2 linked regions of the Arabidopsis thaliana genome follow. The protein of the gene in region 2 interacts with the protein of the main gene of each other region in a pairwise test. Each region holds a gene or a part of one and is shown on either strand. Other genes may lie near its edges. The genes, in order: IAA18 and ARF9.

The links.
Region 1: the proteins of ARF9 (region 2) and IAA18 interact in a two-hybrid assay, tested with the Arabidopsis thaliana proteins (one study listed by BioGRID).

What each region holds. Positions count from the first base shown.
Region 1 is NC_003070.9:19,303,322-19,308,264, forward strand, and holds IAA18 (indole-3-acetic acid inducible 18), read left to right. Parts: upstream 1-1,759; 5' UTR 1,760-2,348; coding exon 2,349-2,620; intron 2,621-2,896; coding exon 2,897-3,192; intron 3,193-3,275; coding exon 3,276-3,408; intron 3,409-3,611; coding exon 3,612-3,679; intron 3,680-3,774; coding exon 3,775-3,809; 3' UTR 3,810-4,197; downstream 4,198-4,943. UniProt on the Arabidopsis thaliana protein: Aux/IAA proteins are short-lived transcriptional factors that function as repressors of early auxin response genes at low auxin concentrations.
Region 2 is NC_003075.7:12,449,188-12,456,171, reverse strand, and holds ARF9 (auxin response factor 9), read right to left. Parts: upstream 5,030-6,984; 5' UTR 4,581-5,029; coding exon 4,565-4,580; intron 4,474-4,564; coding exon 4,367-4,473; intron 4,287-4,366; coding exon 4,188-4,286; intron 4,012-4,187; coding exon 3,955-4,011; intron 3,865-3,954; coding exon 3,709-3,864; intron 3,626-3,708; coding exon 3,541-3,625; intron 3,456-3,540; coding exon 3,365-3,455; intron 3,276-3,364; coding exon 3,111-3,275; intron 3,029-3,110; coding exon 2,915-3,028; intron 2,836-2,914; coding exon 2,763-2,835; intron 2,680-2,762; coding exon 2,532-2,679; intron 2,453-2,531; coding exon 1,983-2,452; intron 1,852-1,982; coding exon 1,664-1,851; intron 1,583-1,663; coding exon 1,435-1,582; 3' UTR 803-1,434; downstream 1-802.

The sequences.
Region 1 (4,943 bases), on a different chromosome or scaffold from region 2:
CGACTCTTGGTTGGTTCGGCTTTTCCGTCATATCGGTCTCACACGTGGAAGAACCATGTCCGATGGTTCATTATTTTCAAAAGCTTACTCTTTTTTTTTTGGTGTGGCAAAAGCTTACTCTTTTAAATAAGATTGAGTTTTTTTTTTTGGTAACATACGCTTCTTGTGATTAAGTTCATTTAAAGCAACACAATAATTCTTGTGTTTTTTATTTGCATGTAAAGGTAGACACAAAACTCGAATCTAAAATCAATAATTTTATTTGTTTAGTGACTGATTTGAAAAAAACGCAGAATAAACTAACCTGATTAAAAAAAAAGAGAGTTTATATTGGAGCTTACTGAATTCTATCGATCTAAAGTATAAGATGACAAAAAATTCCTCGTATCATTTGGGTTTAAATATATGATGGGATGGTAAATGGTAATTAAAGCCAATAGTAATAATTTATAAAATAATAACGACAAAACGAAATAAAGGAAGAAAATTTGCAAGAATAACTAACAAAAACTTATAAATTAAGAAAGTAACACAAAACAAAAAAACAGATATACTCTCTATATTATATATAATAATGGTATATTTACCCATTTTTCTCCACCTCATTCTAAGTCCCTCCTTCTCTCTTCACCTCTCATCTCTTTTTCTTTCTTCTCTCAATCTTTTTTTTTTTTCTTTTTTTGTATCACATAACAAACAAACGAGAAGGACAAAATAGATTTTTCAGATACCACTTATGTTATCTGGTTGCTTGAGTTGCCAAGGTTGTATCTTAGGGTATAGTTTTTCTATACATCCAAAATAGTATAGTACAACATTTTATTTCTATCCAAAATAGTACATGTTTTTACTTACAAACACTATTTACTATTTTATAAATTCAAATCCGATTTTAAAAATTCAAACTATTTTGTATGTAGAAAAAATATAGGTTTTTTCTAATAAATTTTATAATTGGAATTTATTTTTTGGAAAAGATATATAACAAAAAAAAAACAAATAGGTGAAAAACTAAACTAAATGTTACTAAATCATTTTACCTCCAATTCAACACTAAAATTGTCTTTTCCTTATCCTTACATGCTATTTTCTTAATTTTTATATATATGGTACTATATTTTTAATTTGTTTGTCAAATATGGTTATTCAGCTAAATCACCCAATAGAGACTCAATAGAGACTGAGAGAGAGAAAAAGAAGGGTTTCTCGTAAAATCTCCAAATTCATTTGAACTTTCCCAAACATTGGAATATGTGTAAGTCCCATAGGAGTAGGACAGAGTCGATAGGGGTGTGATCCTAACATACCAGAGAAAGATCGTCGAATCCTCCATTTCTTTTTATGGCAACCATATTTTAATTATATACTACTATTTATTAATTTAATTGGGTGTGATTTTTACTTCGCGTAATATAAATATGCTTTTTCTACATTTTCCCAATAATTTTGTAAAAGTGTAAAGTCTCTACAAAAACATTGTTTAGTCCTCCTTTTTTGGTCTAAATATTTGTTTAGTCCTATATCCATATTTTGTGACACTACTAGTATTATAAAAACATAACAAATTCTCAAGTTACACTTCTCGTTTTGTTTGGGTCAACCACACAACACCACAAGTTTTACTTGTACAAAGTAATTGTTTGTTTATGTTTTTCTGTTGTATGTATTTTTTTTAATTGGTCAAAAGAAAATATGTTTTAAATAAAAAGGTGAAAAAAGGCCTATGGGATTGGAATAATAAGATAGAAAACAAAATAGCATGCTTTGCTTCCTCCACTAAACTTCCTTTAAGGGCAGAGAGAGAGATAAAAAGATTGATTGCGTGTGTTTCACACCAATAAATCCCTTTATTTTTATTTTTTGGTCTCCAAATTTACTAACTTCTAATAATTTCCAATTTTACCCCTTATTTTTCTTCCTTTGGTTTTAACCTATTCACTGCATTTCCTTGGTATAAAATCCAACTTCTTCTCCTTCAAGAATCTAGAGATAGAGAGAGAGAGAGAACACAAAGTGGGAAAAAAGATAAGAACCCACCATAAAGTTTTAACATTTTTCCCTTCAAAAGGCGAAAGCTTTTGATTTGTATAAAAGTCCCACTTAATCACCTCTCTAGCTTCTCATTCCATTTCCATCTCCTCTCTTTTGTTTTCTAAGTTGCTTCAAGAGTTTTGGATAGTGTAGCAGAGAGATTTTAACTAATGGGTTTATAAAATTTTGTTCTTTTGCGTGAACAAGTTGTCAACTTCTAGACAGATTTTCTTTTTGAAGTGTTTTCTTGTCGAAATTCTTCTTCTTTTGGTCAAAGAACGCAAGATTCTTCTGTAGTTCCTCTAAAAAAAATCCTAATGGAGGGTTATTCAAGAAACGGTGAAATCTCTCCGAAGCTGCTTGACTTGATGATTCCACAAGAGAGAAGAAATTGGTTTCACGATGAGAAAAACTCTGTTTTCAAAACAGAGGAGAAGAAGCTTGAGCTAAAGCTTGGACCACCTGGTGAAGAAGATGATGATGAATCGATGATAAGACACATGAAGAAAGAACCAAAAGACAAATCTATCCTCTCTCTCGCTGGCAAATACTTCTCTCCTTCTTCCACCAAAACCACATCCCATAAAAGGTTTTAAACTTCTCATCTCTTACTTTTTGTTTTTCTCTGTTTTGTATCCTTCTCACATGATGATATTCACTTGTTATTAGCCAATAAGGTCCCATCTATCTGCATAAACTTTGTTCTTGTCTGCTTAAGATTGGATCTCAAAACTTTTCATCTTTTTACCCTTTTCCCATCTGAAAGTTTCAGTCTTTTTACTGCCCTAGTTTTCCTCTGTTTTTAACCTTGAGATTGTTCTTGTCTTACTAACAAGTTTTGTTTTGATGCCTTTGTGTTTTAAAGAACTGCTCCTGGTCCAGTGGTGGGATGGCCTCCGGTTCGATCCTTCAGGAAGAATTTAGCTAGTGGAAGTTCTTCAAAGCTTGGAAATGACTCAACCACCTCCAATGGTGTTACCCTCAAGAACCAAAAGTGTGATGCTGCTGCTAAGACAACAGAACCAAAGAGACAAGGAGGCATGTTTGTGAAGATCAACATGTATGGTGTTCCCATTGGTCGTAAAGTTGATCTCAGTGCTCATAATAGCTATGAGCAGTTATCTTTCACAGTTGACAAGCTCTTCAGAGGTCTTCTTGCAGGTAAATTTGAAACCTTTGTCTCTCTATTGATTATGGTTAAAAAAGGGTTGAATTTTGAACTCTAATTGTTCTTATTTTATCAGCTCAAAGAGACTTTCCATCATCCATAGAAGATGAAAAACCAATCACTGGATTATTAGATGGGAATGGAGAATATACTCTTACATATGAAGACAATGAAGGAGACAAGATGCTTGTAGGAGATGTTCCATGGCAGTAAGAATCTTTTCTTTTCTTTTTCGTTTTTTTCTGAATCTGAGTCAGCTTTTTGTTCTATCTAAAGGAGAAGTATTAGATTCCTAGTCACATATTTATTATATCTTAATCACAGTTTGATTAATAACAAACTTAGTTTGGTTAAGCTATTAAAGATTGTGGACTTTTTGATCACTAAAATTGATTATTTCTTAAATTGTCAGAATGTTTGTGTCTTCGGTGAAGAGGCTGCGTGTGATTAAAACTTCTGAGATTTCTTCAGCATTAACATGTAAGTGTAGGATTTTAATAACATTTTTTAGTTGTTTTGGTGACTCTTTTAAGTGAAGTTCTTAGAATGTTTTTTTGTTGTTTTGAAATTTGCAGATGGAAATGGTAAGCAAGAGAAAATGAGAAGATGAAGAAAAAGATCTTTTACAGCTTTTAAAGAAGTAGAGAGATGTTATTAATTGCATTTTGCCTTTAAACTTTGATGAGTTTTTGGTCTTGGAAAAGTTTCTGATATAAGTCTGATGTACATTCTGGTTTGTTACATCTTCTTTTGGCTTTTGAGATATCATAGAGTTTTGTTGGAACTCAAAGACCAAACAGTGCAATGATGATTTTGGGGTCTTGAGTAAATTTACAAACCCTTTTAGGCATATTATAATAGTCTTCTGTTTTTAAGTTTTGGTAATGATTATTCACACTTGATCAACACTTTTAAGTAATGTAACTCTCCCTATGTCAGCAAAGCATCCTTTTCGAAAAACGGAGAAAAGAAACAATCTTTTTCTCTGCCAAAAAGCTCTTTAGCTTTTATTAAATCTATACTTAGGGTATCCGCTATTGTAATGAACTATGAGAGTGAAAGGTTTTAAAACATTGAACAACTTTTCTTTAAATGAGCTGTTAGGACAGATATTCAAACCATTGTCTAACCACATCTTTCATCTTTGTCTGGACTCTTGGGCAACAAAATTACAGACATCATTAGATTATCATCTTCTGATTATTGATCTACATATTTGATAATACTTGATATGATATAGTTTCTATGTATAATCATCTCTAAATTTATGTTTCTAGTTTAGCTTTTGTGTTTCGTAGAATAGATATATAAAATAAAGGGTTGTTCATAAGCATATGTATTCATACGATCAAATCGTTTAAAAGGAAAAAAGGAAGAAAAAATTGGTGGGTATGGAATATTGATAAAGAGAGTACAAAATAGAAAAATTGAAGAGAAGTCTTTTTCGTTGAGAGTCTTGCCTAACTATTCGAAGCAGCAATATGAGACCTTATAGTTACTTTTTTCCTTTTGCCTTCGAAAATGTTCATTCTATATTCTTTTGAAGTCTACAGTGATATTGATGGCCAATTGTGTTGTCCTCTCAACATTTTAGGACCACTCTATCTAGTCCAAAAAATTAATATTCTGGTTTTAAGTTCAAGTAATAAGCGACGTTTACTCTTGTACTGTAGTAACTTGTTTGGATCAAATAAATTTATCATTGAGTTAACGATAGAATAAAACCGAATTCTAAAGAAAATAA
Region 2 (6,984 bases):
CTGATATAGATACTGACTGTATGTATAAGTTGGTATTTGGTGAGCTTTTAATGGTACAATTAAATTTAAACTTCTCTATATATGGAAAGAAAAAAAGAAAAAAAAGAAGAGGAAAAGATAGGGATTGTGAGATCCACTGCCTTCACAAATCTCGGCAATAAATAACCTACATCATCACTTCATTATCTCGGCAGTAAATAACGTCATTAACTATGAACGGTATCGACGTATTAGTAAAGAGATTCGTATAGGTGTATTTATGTGGTACGTATATAAATATTGGACCGTCAGAAAATATAGATATTTGGACCAAGCAACCAGATATGCACGATTTTTTTTCCCCAAATGATACACTAATTAAAATTAGATTGAACTTATATGTTGGATAATCATTATCTAATCTTTCGTATGTGGGATTTAGAATAATATCCTAACATTTTCTACACACTTGTCATAATCAAAGAAATACTATATGTACATATTATAAAGACAAACTTCACAATTTATAATCTCACCAGATCAGCATGTGTTATACTATGTTGACATATTGTAGTTGTTTTGCAGCGAGAATGGTTGTACACGACATATTGGACTAATCCAAGTAATATGCATAACCCAAATGATATCTAAAGAGAAAAATAACTCTTTTTTCCTTTGCAGCATTCGATATTTTAATGCATGTGAGTGAATAGTGATATAAGGGAATGATACACTTTACAAACATAAGGGGATCCAGAAGTAGTAGCGAAAAGGTGGTCCATACTTCATACAATTACGTTTGTGAATATGGTGGCAAGAGCGGCCACATACATGTCCTCACAGACAAAACATCAATAATCTTGAATCATTGTTAAGGTTAGTGGGAAAACCTGAAATAGTTTTAGGTCTAGAGTTTTGTTTATTTAACATTTTAAATATTGATAATATATGTACCTTTGGGGATTTGACAAATACAAGAAAGCCATGTTTGAAATTTTATATATACATTAAAACTTAGATGAAAAACAAAATCAAAGAAAACACAACTACGAAAAAGAATCAGAAAACACGAGAGCCATGAGGTATAATCCCTCTTTAATCTCTTATAATCCCAGAGTCCCAAAAGTCCTTCATCAAGTTATTCACAAATCTCATTCTCTTTTTTTTTTTTTTTTTTTTTTTTTCTTTCTGTTCGTTACATATTTGTTTCTCTTACACACAAGTTCCTAGAAGAAAAAGAAACTTCCAAAAGCCTATTTTAAAAGTAGAAAACCCTCTCCCCATAAACCCCCTTTCTCCATAAGAGGCTCCAAAAAAACGAGCCATTTTTTTTGCCTCAGGGGATGTAGTTTCTTGTTTAAGCCATGCGCAACAAAACACAGACACAAACAAGATAATTCCGAAAGACAAAGCAAATAAGAAGGAGACGAAGACTGATAGAGAATAGAATAAAAATTAGTTGGAATGATTATCTGTTTTGGAAGTTGTTGTTAGTGTTGTTTCAACTTCCCTTAACAGCATCCGGAGTTGGTTCCCAGGCGTCATTTTCTTCACTTCCTCTTTCGACCATATGAATATTCTCTTCACCATGTTGCAGAACTCACTGCACCACCAAATTAAGTCAACAGATATGAGTTTTGTGTAGTGATTCTATTGACTAAGAGATAAAGAGTAAGTTACTTACGGCCATGGGTCATCACCGACAAGCATCATATCTCCCTCATCGTCTGTGAACACTATTTCCCATTGATTGCGACTCCGCAGTTCCCCTTTTATGTCAAACAGCTTCTCAATGTCATCTATGAGCTCGTTGTACCCCTTTAGCGCATTTAAATCCACAGCCCTGCCCACAGGTACGCCTTGCATCTGCACCTGTTCAGCGATAAAGAATTCAGGATCCTGTTCAGTCCCGCAAACATTATACATAATGTGTATCTGTTTTGCAACTCACAGATTACACAATGTATATACACTTCACGGTAGCCATGTAGGCATATATATACCTTGGTACGGCTTCTTGTAGAACTGCTTTGCTTGCTTTGGACCTCTTTTGGTGATCCCTCCGCAGGTTCCTGCTTTTTCTCTTCTGATACTTTTGAAATCTCTGATTTTGGGTCTGAGTGGCTGTCCATAGTCGGTTTGGATATGTTGATTGGTCGCATGGGTGCAGTTTTCTCCTCAGGAACCGCTAGGGAGGAACTCATCAGATCAATTCCAAATAATCTATAATTAGCGGTTGTCTCAGGCTTCTTCTGCTCGACTGGGGAAACCATTTGGTCGTTCAGTGTTGAGTCTTTTGCTACATTTGACACAGAGTAAGAGTTATTTAGCCAGTCAGATTTCTTAGCATCCTCATTTGCATCACGATGACATTGCTGAGGAGAACTCCACTGTGAGGTGATGCACGATTGTGCAAACTCATGGGGTTGCGTCAAAACAGAGCTCCAAAGGTTTGAAGCTGTTATGCCTACATCTAAACACAGCATGTGAGATTTAGCAAGGAAACTTAAGCTATGTACTAGCAAATCAGTGGCGGTTAGATTGTGCCTCACCAAGTGCAGATACTTCACTAACTTGACGGGGCCTTTTGTTCTTCAGCATAACTGATTTGGGAACGTTTTCTGAATTTACAAACGGTTCAATTTCCCATGGTGAAACCTTATTGGGTCTTGAAATCGATGCAGGCTCATCCCAATGAACCTACACAAACATGTAGCAAACTGATTGAGTTTTCACACTTAATAAACACTTTAAAAAACATGTAAAAGTGGAAGGAATTTTACTTCTAAGCATCGCCATTTTGAGTCTTTCCAGTGAGGGGAGCAGTCTTTCACACCAATAACCGTGCCAGAATATCTTTGTAAAGAAATAGATGTGTGAGAATAGCTTTGGGGACAAAGTGCAGGATACATAACAAAGAAAAAATTCAGACTACCTTCTTTCAGGGGAATCCTCTCCCTCAAAACGCATCTTAAATCTCATCCCTACAGAGAACTTATTGCTCATGGCTTCTAGATATTTGTTCAAGCTAATGATGAATTGGCTTGTCCTGCTCAAACCGAGAGTAATTCGATAAGCAGAATGTCGAAAAAACTCACCTCAGATATTCCCATAGAGTAATAACTGTCTACCTTGGTTTATAGTATACAATGAACATAGTTTTCGTTTGAGTAGCATGGCGTGCAGTAGCAAGCACTCCCAGATGCATACTATGACTTGATATAACGGATGAAGGCATACTGCTCTGTTGAAGATTAGCACGTCTGACTCCAACTCGCAACTCTCCGTTCTCCCCTCTGGAAAATATAATATAGCTTGGAAGTTCAAAATCTACCAATGGACCATCAAAAGAAACAAAACAAGGTAGCAGCGTGAAGTATAATACCTCAGGAATACAAAGGTGTCCCCAGCAACCAATCTCTTTGATGTAACAAAGGTGCTCCACCCTGTCGTCAATAGATGCCTCCGTGGTTGGCCTGTTTAATGAATTATCATTCATTTTATACAATTATCATGGATACATAAAGTTTGATCTGAGTTAACAAGAAATGGATTCACCACCTCTAAAAATATGCTTGAATTTCCACTGATAACCGTGCACATCTTCGGCTACTAACTCCTGGGTCGGGGTTTGCTGAGTCATATCCTAAAGGATAAGAACATAAGAAATTCATATCAAAGGCCATTTTGGTGGGAAACAAAGCACAAATAGTAAGCGTGTCCTAATACCAGCGGAGGAAGACATTCCGTGGCATGTTTCCTTAGAACAGAAAAGCCACCATGGGTGCTTGTATCAGACGCTGTCAAAACCTTGCTGAAAGAGTGAACTTTCGGCCTTTGCAACTCAGGAGGAGAGGGATCAGGACTCATAGGTTCATCAACTTCCTACAGTTTACATTTAGAGATCCACTAAACATTGAATTTAAGGAAGTTGCAACAACAAAAACAATCAAGTGATCTAATTGTGTCACTCACAGTTCCAACAGGGATCAAAGTAATCTGAGCATAGACCTCATCCGTATCTTTCTCCGCCTGACAAGAACAGAAATGAAGAAATCAAACAAGATCCAGAACTTCCACTCATATTTAGTCTAATCATTTCCAGCTTCTTCATAGATTTTCTACAATATCCATCTATATATATTGCTTTAACTAATGGACGACACATCATCAGATAAATTCGGTTTTGCTAAATGTGGAAAGTATACCTGAAGACTAACGTTCATAACATTGCAGAGAATCTTAGGAGGAAGAACAAAAAGAGGCTTCATCGTATTTAAGTCGACTTGTTGCGTTGACGCTTCGAGCTGAACCACCAAAAATAGAAATGTTTCATTAAAAAAAATCTTTCTCAAAATTTCACCGATCTAAAAGAGAAGCTGCTTACTTGTTCCATGTGACCTTGAGGAAAATAATAAACTCTTTCTTGAGCTTGAGGAACATCAACAAGAGGTCCCGCGCATAATTTCCATAACTCATCGTACAGATATTCACCTGTTTCACCACACAATGTACACCGGTTAATTTCGCCGGTAATGTCGCCGGAAAATTGAAGAAAAAAACAAAACTCCGGTCAATTTCTCACCTCCGCGATTTGCCATCAGCTGATTAAATCTTCTATCAGTCACACCAAAACACACAGTCTCTCTATCTCTCTCCGATGAAGAACCGGAAGCTGAAACAGTCGAAAATAAAAGAAGGGTGCGTAATAAAGTGAGGAATTAAATTGAAGAAGAAGGTCCCTTGGATTCCGTCTCCACGTTTTCTTGTTCTCTAATGCATGTAAGTAACGATCGAGAGAGATCTGAATCGTAACGCAACGCAATCCTTCCTGCTCTGTAACTGTAACCTCTCTAATTTCTCTCCCGTAAAACCAGCTTCTATCGTCTTCGTCTCCCAAACAAAGAAGACTAAACTCTTTTTTTTTGTCTCTCTTCGTCACTATAATCGTCAAACAACGCCGTTACAAGAAAGAATCTCTCACTCGCTTCTCTCCCGTCTTTAAGTTAACACCTCCGTTTGCTTTTATCTCCGTTTCACTCTCTCTTTTTTCAATACTTTTATTTTTAATAAATTGATTTTATATGTATGTCTAAAATTGGACACCTTTTCGTATATAATAATACGCTATACATTAATTGTATAACCAATTGTAAATTCCTTACTATACTTTCTAAGACATGTTGTTATCCAGACAGTACCAAATTTCTAGGAAATAGCTTGATTTGAAGAAAGTAGAAAGTTATTTTGAAATTAAATGTATTGTTTATAAAAAAATATATGATAGAAATGCTTAGCACAACAATAATTGTTTTCCTCAATTTTTGTTTGATTAAATAAAAAAAGAGCTAGCAAAAAAAAAAGCGTAGCTTTGCTTCTCTATTTAAACCAAAAATCAGTTTTAATTTTACAAAAAAAAAAAAAACTTTAATTTCAAATTTATTTGGTTTATGTTTTAATACACTTTGATATTTTAGTCAAAAACAAATAAATAATGGGTCTATGATAAACACCTTTATACTGTATAATATAGAAAATAATTGGTTGTTTTACACTGTACTAATTGAAAGAGACTTTGTAAGTTATAATTATAAATAGCTTTTTACTTTTTTTCTATACGTACTAAACAATTAAATGCAATTGCGTTAGTGGATGAAGGAATTAGTATTAGTTACTGGATAAATCATAAATGTGTTGGCTTTTAAGGCTGGTACGGAGCGTGAGGGCGCGTGCCGTTGTCGTTACGGTAACAAAAGTCGATCAAGAGACATTAAACAGTAACACCCGTCATCGTTAAGAGTCCGTCACTTTTACCGTTTGCTCTTATGCAGGCAACAATACTGGCTAGACTTGGATTAGAGACGAAGCAGCTTTGACCTCCTTCTTTGGATAAATTACATTTCTACCACTAAATGGTGGGACTAACATAAGCATGTGGGAAGTGTTTCCATCTCTGATTTTTGTTCTTTTCACCTTTTGCAAGAACTTTTTTCCAACTCCACATTTTACTAATTAGAAACATCAAAATTTATTTGAGTCATGATATATGTTGATCGTTGCCAAACAAATATTATCCGGAAAAATTACTTAAATACTTAGAAAAAAATGTTTTGATTAAATGTTTTTTTTTTAGAATTTTGAACATTAATATACGTGAAATCTTTTGAACCGTTAAAAAATGATCGATGATGGATAAATAAGTAGATGTTATAAATAAGCGATTAATATCACTTATAACATCAAGATTAAGTTTCCTAAAAATCTTATGATACTCAAATTGAAGGAACTCAAAAAGTATGACAAGCGACAAACGAAAAACACTAAATAAATCTATTTTACTAATTTAACCAAGATATGTAATATAATAATTTTTGTTAGTATAGTTATGTTTACCATATAAATTCAAATCCTTATAATGTAGATATACATATATGTTGGGTTAGTTATTTATTTTAGTTTTTTTATATGATAAGATTATAACTCCCAAATATTTATTTCAATACAAAATTTAACATAATAATTTTATTTCCTAAACATTTGTACCATCACTAGTAGTGTAGTGCATGGATTTTCGTATAGTAAACTAAGTGCGATCTTTAGATGATCAATAAATTTAAATTTCTGCATCAAAATCGTATATTTGCTGTAGTCATTTGGCAATGAATAATGCCAAACTTTTTAATAAATAATAAGCAAAATATAAAGATGAAAAAGCCTATACTCCATAGTCCATATATTTATATACCAATTAACTAATTACTTTATCGTTTAGTTCTAATTAATTATGTTTAGTATATTACTAATTATGACAGAAAACGTCACGTATGACGTATTTTTGACAATTTCTGTTCCCTTTAAGGATATAAATAAGCAAGATGCCTTAAAACCCACCACCACCATCTCCGGATCTTCTCTTTCTCAATTTAGACTATTTTAATCGTATTTATTTTAGTAATAAATTGGTATCTTGTCCCCCGTATATTCCCCAGAGCTTGTTCAAACGAA